Bombyx mori: one gene and its partner. The protein of the gene in region 1 interacts with the protein of each later gene in a pairwise test. Links are inferred from orthologs where the notes say so. Each region holds a gene or a part of one and is shown on either strand. Other genes may lie near its edges. The genes, in order: protein sprint and vascular endothelial growth factor receptor 1.

Region 1 (9,210 bases):
CTACCCGCTAAAATAGCCGGGAATCCACTGGATACAGGCTCCATAGGACCGATCATTGTGGTGAATCTTGGGTAAGGCCATAGTTCAGCAGTGGACGTCATTGGCTGAAAAAAATTCTTAGCTTAGAAGACAAGATCTGCTTTTTCAGGTTAATTTAGTAATAGCTTATTGCTGTTCACGCTTTGAGAGCTTCCATGTTGTATGGTTGTTAATAAAATATAATTCTCATTTGCCAATAACAAATTGTTATTTGCGTCACTAAAGGTGTAACCTGCTCATTTACATAAATAACTCATAACCAAATTACAATAATACATAACATTATGACATTATTCGCTGTTTCATGAATTTACGGGAATAACCTCATTAATTTGATTAACTCCATAATTCTCTTTGACGCTTTGACCTTGCTGCCTGCCTATGTCTAGACTCAATTTTGCGTGTCAAACCGAAATGAGAAAGGCATGACACAAGTGAGAAAATGTAATTACTCCGCGGGCTAAGTGTGTATAATAGTGTATAATACACTCTTACAAAAATCTATACTAATAATATTATAAAGCTGAAGAGTTTGTTTGTTTGAACGCACTAATCTCAGGAACTACTGGTCCGATTTGAAAAATTTTTTCAGTGTTAGATAGCCCATTTATCGAGGAAGGCTATAGGTTATATAACATCACGCTTAGATCAATAGAAGCGGAGCACCAATAAAGAATGTTTCAAAATCGGGACTATTTATACCCTTTGAGAGCTTCCACTGCATGCGCTGCAGAAACGATTAAAGTTCCGCTAAAATAATGTATGACAGAATTGTGCCCCTTTAAAAGATCTAAAAAAAAGTCCGCGACAGAATATGTTTATATGTTAAGGTTGGCTCACTATAACGTTTTTTATGCTAACCAAATTTGTTCTAAAATAAGGCATTATTTGTGGACTATTCCACGCGGACGAAGTCGCGGGCAAAAGCTAGTATAGTAATTAAACTATTGTACTCAAGAAATTTGCTACCAAATTTAAATTTAATTTATGTACATGAATCAAAATTATTATTTTTCCATCACAAATACAATTTTTTGATGTACATAATTTTCCTATTACTCTGTACTATGTCCTCTTTTTTGTGTGTATATAAATAAATAAATAAAATAAAATAAAACAATTTTTTGTATAAAAACAAGTGGCAGTTTTCCTTAAAATTAAATTTAAATTGGCGAAAAGGTCACTTTTGACACCTTAAAACAATTCAAACTTGAAACAACAATCTCGTTATTAAGTAACGCAACGCACAGTTCAATGTCGTAGCGATCGTGCCCGCACTTTCAAAATACACTTGTTCTACACGTTCGCACGCTATTTACCAAGCTACTACATAGTTATCAAGAACTATCCGAGTTGTATTATTTTCTATTTTTTTGAATGATATAATGTCGCTGTCGCTGTAGCTAATCACACGTCAATGTCACTACCCTCTTCTAATAAGAGGTCTAAGTACTTTAATACATAAATAATACACAATAAAAATAGGTTTTTATTTATATATTTTTATTACTTTGATAAGTCAACAAGCAATAGACGTACAGTTTACAAAGTGATTCGAGATGAAAGTCTCAATTATATTTGAAACTAGCGACCCACCCTCGCTTCGGTTCGGAAACATTAAATTTTATTATTGATTGTTGAGTCCCGCGATGTTGCCCGCGGTTATTGTCGTACCGCGGGTGACGCCGCGGGAGCGAAGCTAGGCTAAAAAAGTAGCCTAAGTTACTCTTTATATCATCAGCTACCTATCAGTGAAAGACCCGTCAAAATCGGTCCAGCCGTTCCTGAGATTAGCCGGAATAAACAGACAGAAAGATAGACAAAAATTGTAAAAAATGTTATTTTGGTTTATGTACCGTATATATATATATATATATTAATAAAAAAATTATAAAAAACGGTTATTTCAATATTACAAACAGACACTCCAATTTTATTTATATGTATAGATGTATAGATAACCGTTATAGGTCAAACGGGAACATATGAGAGCACGTATTATGCATCTACTTAAATACATATTTATTTAGAAATGATACTCGCCTCAGTCTCGGAGTGACTCGGAGCTCAGTATAGTTGCATCACGCGATACGAGTGCACCTCTTTACTGGTGGTAGGACCTCTTGTGAGTCCACTGGTAGGTACCACCACCCTGCCTATTTCTTCCGTGAAGCAGCAATGCGTTTCCGTTTGAAGGGTAGGGCAGACGTTGTAACTATACTTGAGACCTTAGAACTTATACCTATCAAGAAGAGTGGCGCATTTACGTTGTAGATGTGTATGGGCTCCGGTAACCACTTAACACCAGGTGGGCTGTGAGCTCGTCCACCAATCTAAGCAACAAAAAAAACCAGACTTTTACCTACTAGAACACAGCTGTCTCAATTTACAAAAAAACATTCTAAAGTGGATTTGTAATCAACCCGTTCCCGGAGTGAAAACTAGCGAAACTTGAACACACAACTATTTTGTAACAAACAAATCTATGAATACATAAACAGTAAAAATGTTTCGTTCGTTTCCAGGGGTCTTTTTTACCACGTATATCCGTCTATGGAATGAGCTCCCCACCACGGTGCTTCCCGAGCGCTATGACATTCTTTAAAAGAGGCTTGTGGAGAGTATTAAGCGGTAGGCAGCGGCCTGGCTCTGCCCCTGGCATTGCTGAGGTCCATGGGCGACGGTAACCACTCACCATCAGGTGGGCCGTATGCTCGTCTGCCTACAAGGGCAATAAAAAAAAATGTATAAACTTTAATCTATTCACTTTCCGAAACGAATTATCTCGAAACAAAATACTTTCGTGCCGTTCCCATTGTTCACTGTGGACATAATATGACAATGTCACTTTCGTTTGATGTCCCATATATGTCGTTGTGAAAGTACAGAGTTATGAAAGTATCATTGAGGTATCACCCGTTCATGGAATTGGTTGTTACGTTGTCGTCACTGTAGCGACGACAGTAGGAAACTGTAATTGATATTTTGTATTTAAATTGCTAATTTAAATGAGATCACAAATGCTTATATTGGTTACAAACAAAATGCTATGTCACGATTGACTTCCACGGTGAAGGAATAACATCGTGTAATAAAAAATCAAACCCGCAATATTATAGTTTGCATAATTATTGGTGGTAGGACGTTTTTTTTTATTGCCTTTGTAGGCAGACGAGCATCCGGCCCAACTGATGGTAAGTAGTCACCGTCGCTCATGGACGTCAGCAATGCCAGGGGCAGAGACAAGCCGCTGCCTACTTGGACGTCCCTACAAGGACGTCTTGTTAGTCCGCTCGGGTAGGTACCACTACCCTGCCTATTTCTGCCCTGAAGCAGTAATGGGTTTCGGTTTGAAGGGTGGTGCAGCCATGAAAGCAATAAAAATAAAAAAATTGTAGAACTACTTTCAAATCGAATACTGAAAATTCATAACAGCAAACAAAAAAGTTGCAGTCTTAAGTTAGATATTGTTTTATTGAATTATTTTCCGATTTCCCAACCGTAGTTCATAGTTTCACATTAACCTGTATCCTTAATATTTAATATATTTTAATCTTCAAGACTATTATAAATCTGAAGCTTTGTGACTTCCATATAAAAACGCCGACTGCCTTAATAGCGGTAATGCAATGCAATCATGAACGGCCTTGCATGAATTACAACAACGCCGTAACAAGAAATACTAGTTTTCTTGATGAATATCAACGTAGACTTATTAAAAAAAAAAACTAAAATTACCGAGACTCCACAGCTTCTTAATGAAATGAAATTCACAATAAACGGAAGAAACACAAGATACTTTATTTGACACAAAGAAAATATGCTATTGCAAAACTCGAGATACAGGGCTTAATTATCATTGATAATGATGGGAAAGTAGACGACGAGGTCCAAAAAGGGAATGAATGTGGAAATGATGAAGGTATATTGTTCCGGACATGCGTAGAGTGGGACACGACCAGAGCGAGCCTAGCCAACGCGCGCTAACGTCAGTCGTAGCCGGGTTTGCGCGGCGAGCGTCGTCTCTTTGTAGATACGCTTTTTTTTCTTGTACACATATCAAATTTCACGAGAAAATTTGATATAGTCGTCGATCTGTGAATAGTGTATGAAAAAAGTTTACGAAGAACGTTCGGTAATTGTTTGTTTCACTACACTTGCGCTGTTATTTTTTATTATTTTTATTATTTGCTCTATGATGTTGCGTAGTGTTTTTTATCAGTGAATATCCGTTGGATTGTTTTGTTGTAGTTCCAAGTATGTATCTTTTTTTTTTGTTGTATTTATCTTTTTTGCAATTTCTTGTTAGAATTATTTCTTAATGGTAACGTCAACAGAGTTGCTTTATCATGGCTGATAAGTGTTATCTACTGGGACACGTTGTTGTGTATAAAATGGCAGTTTATAATGCATTTTAATTTAGAATTGATTTGTTGATATTAAGATTACTTAAATCTAATTTTTTTTAAATTATATACCTATTACAGTTGAATATTTTGGACGTAATGGAATTATAATTACAGGAAAATGTGAAAAAAATCCATTAGAGATAGCACACATAAAATGAGGTAAAAATTGATAATGGAGTTCGATAAACAAACTCTACCGACTTTGCGGTGTAACATTCAGTGTATTGATTGAGGCCTATTATAACTATGACGAGTTGCCTTCGCTTGTTGTGAATAGCCGAGTATATGAAATAAGATAGACAAAGAAGGGATTTGAATATAAGGCGAGGGGGCCCTTGAAATTGATCGCCGTGTTTCTCCCCAGGCTCTGGTTAACCGAGCCCTTGAATCGTAAGCTTAATGTGGTACAAATTTGATTTGATGCTAGCGTTACTTCAACTCTCGGCATTTTGCATTAAAAATATATCTAGAGCTATATTGATTGCAAAACAAGGCATAGAAAAACGTAACGGTTAACAATTTGAATTAGCTTGGGATTATGTATTAGAAGCTTCTTAATATTTCATCCAAACAGGTTTGAAAATATTGTAACGAAGGTGACGCGTGCCGTTTGTATTTAATTCTATATCAGTGATGTTGGGCTACCAGTGGAGCCCGTAATTGGGACCCGTAATGGCTTAAGGCCCTTTTTTCGATCTGTCCTATTGTTGTGCTCATAGGGTGTCGGTCGTTGACATTGGCATTCCCCTTTACGAATTGAGATTTGCAACGATATTTCATTGCATGTCGGATTAACAATACATCATTTTTAATCTAGTTTCCATTATTATTATTATTAATAAATTATATGACTTGTTAATCTGTGCCATAAATGAAATCTGTCGTTTCGTATTGACCATTAGCGATTATAATCCGAAACATTTCACTATTACGTTCGTTCGTCCGATCATTTCATTTTGTTGCTTATTAAAAACAAGGTGTTCAAAAATTATTCTTCGATTTCGGTCAAACTAATTTGAAGTTGTAGAAACCATAAAAGGTACCTAATTCAGTGATGATGGCATTAGTTACACAATTGAAAGTGTCATTCTAAAAGCGACATAATTTTGATAGCTCTATAATGGTTATTTTCTAATTGGGTATTTTAAAATATTTTATATTTTGATAAAACAAATCGTCCGTTGAGCGTATAGCTGAATTTTCACTATAGAAAATCAAAACAAAATGCCATCGAAGTCGATCGACTAGCAGAACATTACCAAAGCAACTCTAACTTGACTAATGACTACCCACATACTCAACCCGTCCCATAAATTTAAATTGGCCAAAACAATGCGATCACAGAGTGCCGGGCCACAGTACCGTTAGTCAGCGGCTCGAGATCTTATATTTTGTGTTTCTATTAGCGGAGGCAACTATCTTTGATAACTAGCTACCGATTGCGTAAACGGTCTCTTTTTTGCACGTGCATTATTTTGCAATGCTAACGGGTTTTGATGGAAACTTCTAAACTGGATTCGCACATATTTCTATATCTAGACTAATCTAGATCAATCCGGGCTTAGCATTTCTTTATACTTTTCTGTCCATAAAAACAGTTTTACGTTTTTGACATTGAAGAGGATGAATTATCATCCGTTAACTTTGAGTGCTACATTCACTTTTTCATTAGCTATGCCCACATGTTCACGTTTTCGTATAACCTTTCATTAAATACCCACCTACTCGTGTTATTTACTCACCGAACGTAGGTAGCGTCTTTCTGCTGTTTGTATATAATTCTGGCATCATCAGTAACCGTAGCAGGTCTATCCTAGGGCGTTGCACCGCCGCAGCGATGGAATGTGACCGATCGTGATTATGAAATGCCGTGACTCTGCAAACGATTCTCTATTCGAATACGCAATTGTTTATCGTAATATTTTATAGACATTCCCAACTTTTATTCCGGCAAAAAAGCATAACAAGTAAGCCACTATCGCGATTACTGTATGCTGTTCGCCTAATGGTATCTCTAATTGCGTTTCTTGCTCGACTGCTAGCACTCCCGTTCATGAGTTTTTAATTACCTCTTTTATATGGCGTAACATTCACTAATGTGCACGACTAAGGTCGGTACGGAATATAAGGAGACCCATTGTTTCGAACAGCTCCTTATATTGCGAATAGCGGTTCAACTTCATAGGGTGCGACTGACCGCCAAAGTACCATGTGCCCAAATTCTTGGAATGCTCCCTGAATGTAATTACCTATTTACGGTCCTAACTGATATTTTAAATGATTGCTATTCATTAATGTCTGCCTATTAGGCCATCTATAAATATCTTAGTTTGTGCTTATCGGGATAGCAATTCTGCTCTTACATAATATATATCATCGTATTCATCAAAACTTTAATGTGGTTAAGTGTAAATCTTATCAACTCCCACTTGGGACATCAAAGAGTGATGGAAGCGATTCGTCATGCTCCCTACTATTTGACCTATTTATGAGAGAATTTCAACTTGGGCTTTTTTATAGAATATCAGGGCCATTAGTAAGTAAGACGGTGAACGGGCGACCCCTATGAAGAAATCAATCGCTTTCACGCTGCGTTAGATATTTTATTGTTTTATCCTGGTTGAGTCATTCGGGTTAGCGAAGCAGATTCTATTTGTTTTATGTATTATTTAATCTCAACACAAGGAATTGCTTTTATTTTGAGATGTTTGTGGTCCGTTGACATAGATGTATGTGATAATAGATTCATTAATCGTTGCTTAATGGGCTTAATTTAATGGGGATGTTTCAGATTACGGTTAAATAATCTTTTAGCTCTTATCTATCTCTCACGATATCTATGTCAATGATATTTTCCCTCTTCGTTAATTCAAATTTAAAATCATTGATTTAAATTCGGATGTAATCCACTTATTCGAATTCAAAATAAAGACGATAACTACACTTAACACTAACAAAAACTACTATCGCTTAAAATTTTTGAACAATTTACATAGCTTTGTTGGTTTTTATTGTATATTTTTCATAATAAGTAAAAGCTTATTTTTTCCGAGCGATTTACCGTGATTACTACTTTAACTTCATGAATATGGAATAGGATTATTTTACAAAAACCATATCCATCTTATTTGTGATATTTCAAGGCTATTTCAAGCTCTAAGATAGTAGGATATTGGAAACAAATGTGTCTACGCCATTAATGTACATTTTGGGCTATTACAACTGACCGGTACTTGAATCCTATGTTACTATCCAACAATACAAAATAAATAATTGATTTTTAGTATAGTTAAAAGGAAAAAACAAACAAATTGATATGTAAATTTAAATACGATACAGTTGAATACATCAGTATTCTTGTCATTGGCATCCAAAACCTGTAGGTAACATAGGCATCGTTTGCTTGTGTAAACTTGTCGTGTTTGTATGCTCAGTCTGAGTTGCATCTCAATTACTATACGCAGTTGATTTGACCTCAGTACAATAATATCATCATAAGTAATCAGAACACTTTAAATAAACAGAGATAAAAACCTACCATTCTAAAAAAGCTTGGAGACATCAGACTTGACGTGAATTTTCACATTTGGTTCACGACAATCCAAACCACGGCAAAAATAAGAATTATCTTAAATCATAGCTCCTCTTACTATTCTAATCATTTAACTGCCACCGCTTATAGCTACTCAGATATTGATAAGGCGATTGATACATGTAATAAATAAGATCGTGGCGTTAAGTTGTGCTCGATTCACTTTGTGCAAAAATTCCGGTAAAAAATTGCTTGTTCCGATCCTCTGGTTAGCGATAAGTATTAAAAATGAAACCCCATTTGGCCTCTGAATTGTTTTTGCGCAAAGTGATACTCTTTGTACTGAGGCTTTGATAAAACATATAAAAAAATCCTCGAAACGCTATGCATTTTATTTCGAATATTTTTTATTTTATTTTATAAACCTAACCTGTACAAAGCAAAGTATCATAAATCTGAATAATTTTATTCAACAAATAATAATCAATAGACTCTATGACATAGAGAAATAACTAATTAAAAAAATCATCGCAATGATTTCCAAAAGGACATAGAGAACGCTTATAAAATTAAATTTCTCGAGTATCAATAACAAAAATATTGGGCAGAAGTCGGAAGTCTTCGGACACATTGTGGCTTTTGCCTTCCTGTGAGCGACGAGACTTGAATACTGATCGACGTTTGAGAGTCCCACATCGGGTACCCTTCACTTAGGTAAAGTGGTGATCTCGTGTGTTCCATTATTTGAATAGTTATCACGTTAGAGATTTTAACATCCTTGAGCTCATCACCTTGCCTTACAACATCTAGTAAAGCATTTCGTTGAATTTAAATTTTGGTTATTGATGTTTAATGGCTGCTTCGGCGACCGTAATCCATACGGTGCCAACGTTTTATGTCTATTTAAGACTCTATTAAAATATTAGAACTCTAAACCATTATGCGATAGTTGTTTTATACGTTTTTTGTAATACTGTGACAGAATTATTAATTGGTAACAACATAATTTCTCTTAGGTACAGTCCGACGCTCGTTTCGTCATTCTTGTGAATCGTGAACGAAATAATGCAAGTCGTATTGATAGTCGTTTACGTAGTAAGTCACGTCCACGATCTGTATAGCGGACTTCTTAGGTCTAGGCCAAGGTTCATTGTATCTAGTTGAAGAAGCAGGTCACTGGATGAATCTTCGAACACTACCAACGCATCCACTTTGGATAATAGATTCGCG
Region 2 (9,110 bases), on another chromosome or scaffold:
CAGTGCTATGTAATATTTAAATGCTAAATTTAGACAATTGGGCTACGGTCATTCCATTAATATCTAAAAAAATGCAAAAAAAAAAACTGGAACCAGTAAGGCACAGTAATCTGGCCCAAAATTACGATTTCCTGTGTTATAGGAACCACAGACTAATATGTATATATACGTTTAAACATATAGATAGATAATAATCACCCAGGCAAAAAGAAAATGAGCTCACGGCCTACCTGATTTTTAGTGGTTACCTGAGCCTTTAGACATCACACGTGAATACTTCACCTTTAAAAATGAGGACGAAATCTCACCATCGTATTATAGCGCTGTCCCACTCTTCAAACCGATTTACGGTCTTTACGGTCAATATACTAGGTTGGTAGGTACTTACCTGAGGAGATTCACAAGACACCCTACCACGAAAGTAAGTTTCTTGGTTTATAACGCTTTCACGTCTTAACAACTCAATCGGTGATCGTGCCATTTCAATGTTGTTAGGTGTACAGAAAAATACATAAGAAGTCGCGGTTCAAAGCTGGCAATCTAATAATACTCGTACTATATAGTTAATTTGTTAAAAATTCACAGTTTGTTACAATTGGTTAACACTTGGTTTTGGAAGAAAATAACTGAAATACACTATATATACACTTGATGATATTTTAATATTTAAAAACTTGCCATAAGCAGTGCTACTGTTTCGGTTTTTTTTGTTCTAAGTAATAAAATATTAGTGCGCAAGTTTATACTTTAACTATTGGTCGCCCAGGCATCGTCCGGGTGAATCGGGAAATCGTGCTAAAATTTCATTACAGTTCAAGATTATGCTTCATTTAAAAATGACGAATTTTTAACACCTAAGTCAGATTGTTTCAGTGTAGCACTGCTCTTGATAGGGCTAACTAGTGGCTAGTGTTAGCAATTCTCTCAGATTGAGTCCGTATGTCTACCTACCGGTCCGCACAAAGTGGAATAGCCTCTTAAGACTATTAACGATTAGGTATTAGATTAGGTAGGGAAAAAAAGATGGTGAAATACATTGTTATTTTATATTATACCAGAAAGACGTCACTGCGAACTTAATGTGATGAGACGGCTACCAATTTTGTTGATAAGTGAAACGACGGGATCCTAATCACTTAATTGATCGCCTTATCCAATTTTGATACCATTATTATTAACAGGGAACTGTGTAATACGACGTACATTTTTCGTTCTCCTGGTAAGATTAATTTTCCGAATGTTGACCGCGCCTTTGTCACACCCTGTATACGAATTCTGCTAATTAATAGTGTTACTGTCGATCGACGTAGTTAGGTGTCTTGTCCTATATTGACGGACTCTAACGCACTGAAGTGAATTTTGGTAATTCTATGTCAGGATGTTTTGATTTTTTTTCCCAAAGTACCATCTTATCACTTAAGTCTTGGTCATCATTCCCGTGTTTATTCGTATCATTATCATATCCAAAAATATAAGTTTTACGCAAACATTATCGTTGGTTAATATTTAATTTAAGTAGATGGGCATTAGTCTATCGTTTATTCAGTTTATTTTATCCCTTCCACCTCCATGATGATATATTGTTCCATCGATGCGTGAATCGAAACATAAAACTCAACCTTGTTAGGAACAACTGTGTTTATCTTCGTAACATGATTAACTGTTAAACTCTACCTACATGACACGACCCTTCGAACATTGACAAATTGGTTTTTGTATAATTTACGTTATAGAATATGTAAAATATTGATTCCGTCCATTTATAATACATTCAAAACGTTATATAAAAATGAGTGTTCTATGTTGTAGTCTGTATCTATATTTTATGTTAGGGAAAATAATTGGCTAGCTAAATTATCTAGTTGATTTTTAAGTTGAATTTGAGTTGAACTTTCAACTTAAAAATAACAAATGGTTGTCGTTTCCAGATTTTCACCCCAATGGCCCAAAAATAACTCCATGTAGGAGTGAATTTATATTGCACAAGGGACAAAATTTTTCACTCACATGCAGAGGAAAAAACCCGCTTGAATTCAAACAACAAGAAACACCGGAAGAATTACCTAAAAACAAACCAATAAAAACGATGAGACAGACATCCGATTCCGAGTACCCTTTTGAGACAATTATAAACATATATAACGTCGACGAATACGCTATAGGCTATTATGCATGTTTTGATGATGTAAAAACAAACTTTACCTTAAATAATCTCATAGAAGAGCCGAGAAACACAGAGAACGCTTCTTTTATTTACATTTACGTTGAGGGTGAGAAAATAGTTTTATTACAAAAATTATCAATTAAGTAATGTGAAAAGTTAAATTTCAATGATCCAATGAATATTTTAGGATCAGATAGTCTGATTGCACCGATGAGAGAAATTGTTGTACCAAGAGACTGTTCTAAGATTGTAATAGAATGTAGACCGACAACACCAGACGTCAATGTCACGCTTTCATCGGTATGTATGGATAAATTTTGCAGAAGTCATAATGTGTAAAATCTGTCCGTGACAAAAGAAAAACCAATTCTGTAAATTCATATCAGGAAATATCAAACGGGTGTTACTACAAGAACTCATTTAGTAATTAATTGCTTTGCGTTTTTGCTTTCTCTTTGCATATAATAATTCAATGATAATGCAAAAACTCTTGAGTAGAATGCATGTGAAGTAAATAATACCGCTTGTTGCTGATTGAGTCATTAAAGCATGATAATAATAAATACTTTTCAAATCATGGTGTAATATTTAACAACATTTTAATATTCAGGAAATTCCAGACTATTACTACCCGTCATTTCGATACAGTCCAAAAATTGGTTTTGTACCTGAGAACTCTATGCCCTCAGATGATCAAATCATTAGCTTTGTACTATGCGAATTTGTAAGAGGAGAAACACGGATTGAGAAATATATTTATGTTTCAAAACGTAGGTGAATAGATGCTGTTTGATCCAATCAAAATTATTAGTCACATTCACGAGAAAATTATTTAAAAGTGTTTTTTAAATAGTCGATTTATTTACTCTACGTAATTTAAACATTACTTCGTTTTCTCGTGATGGTGGCACGAATGTTTTTCATTTTTATGATTATTTACGCATCAAAACGACAAACAGTTAGGACAATTAAAAATCATAAAATAGGAAAACATTATACTTACTTCTACGAAATATCAACTAACCACATCTATATTATTTATTGGAAATAATCACTAGCCTACGAGTAGAGAGAATCAAGAATCCATAAAATACTATCCAAAGATTGGATTTGTAATGAGTTCGTGTGGTAGGTCTGGTTTCAATTGCACCGGACAACGTGGAAATCAATCTAAGTGGAAACTCATACGTAGTAAGTAGCGCTACTATCTTGATGTCACCTAACAGGTAGCGAGATGTAATGGTTTTATTCACTGGAATGGTTTAAGTTATCCGTGTTCTGTGTATTACTAGCTTACAGCTTGACTACTTCCTAAATCCTATACTTTTTTTGGTTTCTACATCTGTGTGGTTATTTTGCATGTCAACGTCTGTATATACACTAACAAATTAACACTGCTATACTTCTTTATATTTAAGTTTAGTTTTCTACGTTGTTTTTTTTTACTTTGTTTTCAATTATCCAATTCTTCTGAAAGATGAAGAAATATATGTTATTTTTTTGTGATTTGTTGCTGATGTGTTAGTTTAGACATTTCTTTTTATTAGCATTGTAGTACATGAATACATATGATCAGTGTTCAGGTTGATATCAAATTACCGTATGTGTTCTTTTCAGATATTAAAAAACCTCCAAAACCAAAGGTTGCAGGTGGACATAAACAATTTTTAGAAGGTGAAACATTTACAATACACTGCCGTGTACCAAATGATGGATTAATTAATTTCAAATGGAAGTATCCTCCTGAAGTTACCAATGTGAGTCTAGTACAAACCAAAATACTATGGAAAGATTTACCTATAATGTTTTTACGAATTGAACTTAAAATGTGGAGATAACAAAGCATTAAGATGTTAAGTGACTAATCTCAGAACTGATGAAAGTACATATAAAAAATAATTTAACCACCTCATTGTATAGTTGATTAATTTATAAATTCAAACATTTGTCCGCACGGGTAGGGATCACCGCCCTGTCTATTTCAGTCGTGAAGCAGTAATGCGTTTCGGTTTGAAGGGTGGGGCGGCCGTTGTAACTATATTTGAGACCTTAGAAATCATATCTCAAAGTGGGTGGCGGCACGTTTACGTTATAGATGTCTATGAGTTTCGGTAACTACTTAAAACCAGGTAGGCTGTGCGCTCGTCCACCCATCAATGTAATAAATAAATAAAAAAAAATAAAAAATATTGTTGTACACGTCAAAAAGACTACCGTTTATTACGATGCCTACTTGAAAACATACAACTCAGATTGATGTCTATGGACTCTGGTAGCCTCACCAGTTGGACCGAGAGTTTAATATTAATAGAAAGTGAACAATTATCCATCGCGATACACCTCTAAAGTTCCATTATTCGCATTTGCCAGATTTGACATTCACGAAACTATACGATCGGGTAATTAATTAGTTGACAGTCAATTGGCATTGTATTTATAATTTTTGCTCATGGAAAACTATTTTGCTTTCGATATGCGTGTCTAATTTAAAATTCCAACTTTAAAAATTGCCGTTCACAGGACTCAGTGGAAGTATCTGTGGTCAAGACTGAAGCTACGACTACTGGTTCAATAGTTTATCAGAATATTACTATCCGAAATGCTACCAAGAAACACAATGGAGTATACACCTGCCTTTTAACGAATACTTGTGGAGAGGAGAAAGATGAGTTCAGGAAAATATTTTTAGGTAATATCATTCTTATTTTCTACTAAAAATGGTAGCATATGTAGCCGCTAGCCATAAATCTGAAATTTAAATAAATTAAATAAATATCCAAATATAAAAAAATAAATAGCCAATCTGAAATTTAAATAAATTATCATAATTTATGGTAAAATTAAATTTATGACTTTAATTTTTTTTGTTTTTTGTTTTTTTGTTTTATTGTTTAGTGGGGTGGACTTGCTCAACAACGGCTTCCTCACCCTTCAAACCGAAACGCATGACTGCTTCACGGCAGAAACAGGCGGGGTGATGGTACCTACCCGCGCGGACTCACAAGTGGTGCTACCACCAGTAAATTCTAGTTCTTTCTCGTAATTTCTAGTTTTTAACTGATATTCTATGTTTAAATGCTTCTAAAATAAATTACTTTATAAGTTATTGAAGTATTTAAACCATAGGTATCCGCAAGTTAGTTTGCGTCAGCTGTTGTGGTCGCTTGCAAATCCATTTATACATTAAACCATGTAACAAATCTATAACGCGATTCAGAAATAATGATAACACCATTTATCGAGTAATTAATAAAATCGTTTAGTTTAAATACCCATTCCACTTTACATTCCTGCCTCAAACGCCTTTTGTTTTAAGGTTTAGAACAATAACTACTTGAACACAATTATATCAGCGGTATTGTTTTATAATACAAATCGTGCTTCAGTTTTACATATTTTCATATTAAATTATGTTACAGAAAAACCTTTTTTATCGCTGAGAGATCTAGCGAAAGGTAAACTTATGGGAAATGCAAATAAATCCATTAATATTGTCATTGAGATTGAAGCGTATCCCCCAGTTGAAAGGACACATTTGTGAGTAAAAACATCTATTTCAAATTAAACCATTTTTTCAGATAAAGGTAATTGGGATTTGGTGATATTAATATTAAACATCTTGAAATTGATTTTATTCTTAATATTAAATAGCTAGTAAATAGCTACTCTAAAAATACTGTATTTGCTATGTTGTCAATTGTATATGGAAAAAGTCACAAAGGCCACAAAATAGCGATACTATTTTTATTCTTCGTTTTTTTTTTCAGCTTAAAAAACGATAAATATTTACCATCAAATGATTTGAAATACAACGTAACCACATTAGCTAATGGAGATCCTAAACTTCGTATTAACGATTTGAAACTGACCGACATTGCCAACTATACTTTAGTAGCGGAGAATAAATACTTGACGAAGAATTATACCGTGGATCTTAGAGTTTTCAGTAAGTATCGAAAATAATAATAAAAAACATAAGTTACGGCCTTAGCATTTTTCAGTAAAAAAAGGTCGTTCTCAAGTTCACAACTATAACAATGTACCTACATGTAAATAAACCACTGCGGTCCTTTTCATAATAAGCTATCGGAACTTTATAAGACTGTCGAAATTTGTTATTTATATGGCCTTATTTCATATTGAGGACATCGACGTTATGAAAATACGTTTTCAACAGCGTTTTTTCAGTCGAATATCAAAATAATCTACATAGCCGGGGTCAAACTTTTAAAACTGAAGTGGCCTCAATTATATTGTGAAATCGTTGATGTTTAGTTAATTCGATCATAAACAGTACCGGCTGTAAAGTCAATAAAGTATGTATTGCTATAAACGTTTCAGTTTTTGAAAATCTTCTTATAACAGACTAATAAATAAATAGCACATATGGCCTTACTCATTATGAAGATGACCGCAATTTGCTAGTACCTACAGACCGCCACCCACCTCGAGACATAATGATCGAAGTCTCAATTATATTGTATGTATAACGATTTTCTCACCCTAAAAACCCGTACATATAAATGGACTGCGATAGAAGTAGGCATGTTGGTGGTACCTATCCATACTACTAGTAACTAAGCTCATGTATTTAAATGAATATTGTTCGTTTATGCTTATTTAATTGAAACGTTACAGCAAAACCTGAAGCTAAACTGTTAAATAATAGGATCATTAAACGTCTTGAGAATTCAGAGATGAACTTTGCGTGCAAAGTTACAGGTTATCCTTTACCAGACGTAACCTGGATTTTTTCTAATGACGAGGAGCATGAACTGGTAATAAAACTAATTTTTAATATATACATAAATAGATAGTTAGTTGATCACGAAAAAAGTGTAAATAATAATAGCAGATTGATTTATAATGAACGTTTTAAATTGAATTGTGAGTTACAATTGCAATAATAAGTACACATAGCATGCTATTACTAGTAGTTAATAGTTTTAGACAAGTTAACTGTAATGCTGATGGTATTTTTTATTCCTGATATATTTTGGATTAAAGAAGGAGTAATACTTTAAATTTTAAGTATCCTTCATTTTCGTACGTAATACATTTAAAATTTATAGCTATGATTTATCCGCGTAAATACCGCTGGATTTTGATTCTCAAATTTTAAACTTTCAGTCATCCACGAAATCAGAGCAAGAGTCTTTGTATGCGAAAACGGATTATCTCAAAATATCAGTGCAAGCTTCTGGTGTCATAACTTGTAATGCACACAACTCCAAGGGGGAATATTTTGACAGCAGCACACTTTTAGTTTATGAAATAAACAATGGATTTGGTATATTACAGCCATTAGAAAATTGGTATTCAGAAAAAGACAGTGCCAGAAAGAAATGCTTGGCTTCGGTTTACGATTATGATAATGTTTCTTGGTTGGGAAGCGACGGTAATATATTGGATGACATAGGTGAGAAGATATCAATATTTGAAAAAATTGTGAATGTTTTGAAAGTTAAATAAAAAATAAATATGTGACAAAGTACACAGTTTGGCCACAAATACTGTAAATTTTAATTTTGATTCTGTTATTCTCTTATGCATATTCATATTTTTAGGTTAATCCTGATCTGACCTGTCAAATGTTTTCATCTTAGGCTTCCTTTAAAGGATAACTTCGGGCTTGCGATTCATAAAGGACGTATGGGTCATTATCAAAATTTTGCGTTAACTATACAAAGCTAAATAAGATTGGGTGTATGCTTTGCGTTAGAGAACCTGTTCATATGTCGTTTCATCGGTTCAAATAGATTTTGAGGAAGGCCGAATTCACACTATTGCACGATTTCAGAGTAGATTTCATACTACTAGTAGTATATATAGTAATAGGTGTTCTGGTATCCATGTGAGGGCCTCTTGTGAGCTTAAGTCGATTGTTGCCATATCTCATATCCCTTCCTTAATTTATCTAATTTTTGGGTTCATTAAATTCTTGAGCAAGGATATTTTTGTGGGAAAAAAAAACGAACCCTCAGACACAGCCCACTGAGTTTCTCGCCGGATCTTCTCAGTGAGTCGCGTTTCCGATGCGGTGGTAGATTCTGCGAAGCACGGCTCTTGCTAGGGTTCGTGTTAGCAACGTCGTCAGGTTTGAGCCCCGTGAGCTCACCTACTAGTTAAGGTTCCGCTGAAACAGCCTCTCAAGGCTATCAGCTTAGGTAGGAAAAAAAAAGGGAATAAAATTATAATGTAAGGACGTTAATAGCGTGGAAACATATGGAAGTAGTAGCATAGTTCGATGAGACAGGAAGGAAGACCGTAAGCAATTCTATTCTAGTCTAGTTCTATTCTGTGTCATATGATTCCAAAAAACTATTCTAAATCCTCTATTTTTGTTGATTTGATTTTAGTTGAATATTCAAACAGCACATTTTCGCATATAGCTACGTTAACATTAGATCCGATTTCAATGGAGCACACAGGCACTTACATATGTCGAGGTTTAAGGAAGAACTCCACAGAGGCAGACTTTCAAAATATAACAATAACCGTTGCGGGTTTGTATTATTTTGATTTTACTACGAATCATGTATGTCCCTTATGATCGTTTTAATTTAAAATTAAGGTAATTGATCAGAAACATTTAATCAACTGCTTAATATAATTAGATGATAATGGTGGAAAGCTTCGTTTCATTGTGTCTAGGAGCCCAGGAAATTATTTAAATCCTGATGGAATATAGGGACCTTTGAACATCTAAGTTAACCGTAAAAAAAGCGTTAACTATTTTTAATATAAATAACATATAAAACATAAATATTTATAATAATCAAACGCTTCAGTAGAAACTGATGTTTCTTTTTTAAGTGGTTTTTGGAATTTTAATAACGGAAACAATTTTTCTATGATAAATATTAATTACAGAGTTGTTGGCGCCAATAATCAGAGAACCGGATTCCAATAAAGATGAAGAAGCAATGGAGGGTCGTTCAATACA

Evidence for each region.
Region 2: the proteins of protein sprint (region 1) and vascular endothelial growth factor receptor 1 interact in a two-hybrid assay, tested with the Drosophila melanogaster proteins (2 studies listed by BioGRID). The link is inferred for Bombyx mori from reciprocal best matches to the Drosophila melanogaster genes spri and Pvr.

Annotation. Positions count from the first base shown.
Region 1 is NC_085124.1:6,168,715-6,177,924, reverse strand, and holds the start of protein sprint, read left to right. Parts: upstream 1-4,033; 5' UTR 4,034-4,147; coding exon 4,148-4,174; exon of another isoform or gene 4,175-4,296; intron 4,297-9,210. UniProt on the Drosophila melanogaster protein: Potential Ras effector protein. May function as a guanine nucleotide exchange (GEF), by exchanging bound GDP for free GTP.
Region 2 is NC_085119.1:9,929,089-9,938,198, reverse strand, and holds part of vascular endothelial growth factor receptor 1, read left to right. Parts: intron 1-1,660; exon of another isoform or gene 1,661-1,789; coding exon of another isoform or gene 1,790-1,808; intron 1,809-1,928; coding exon 1,929-2,270; intron 2,271-2,351; coding exon 2,352-2,464; intron 2,465-2,774; coding exon 2,775-2,934; coding exon of another isoform or gene 2,935-2,938; intron 2,939-3,222; coding exon of another isoform or gene 3,223-3,355; intron 3,356-3,781; coding exon 3,782-3,921; intron 3,922-4,684; coding exon 4,685-4,853; intron 4,854-5,583; coding exon 5,584-5,701; intron 5,702-5,931; coding exon 5,932-6,110; intron 6,111-6,802; coding exon 6,803-6,942; intron 6,943-7,294; coding exon 7,295-7,583; intron 7,584-8,523; coding exon 8,524-8,670; intron 8,671-9,037; coding exon 9,038-9,110.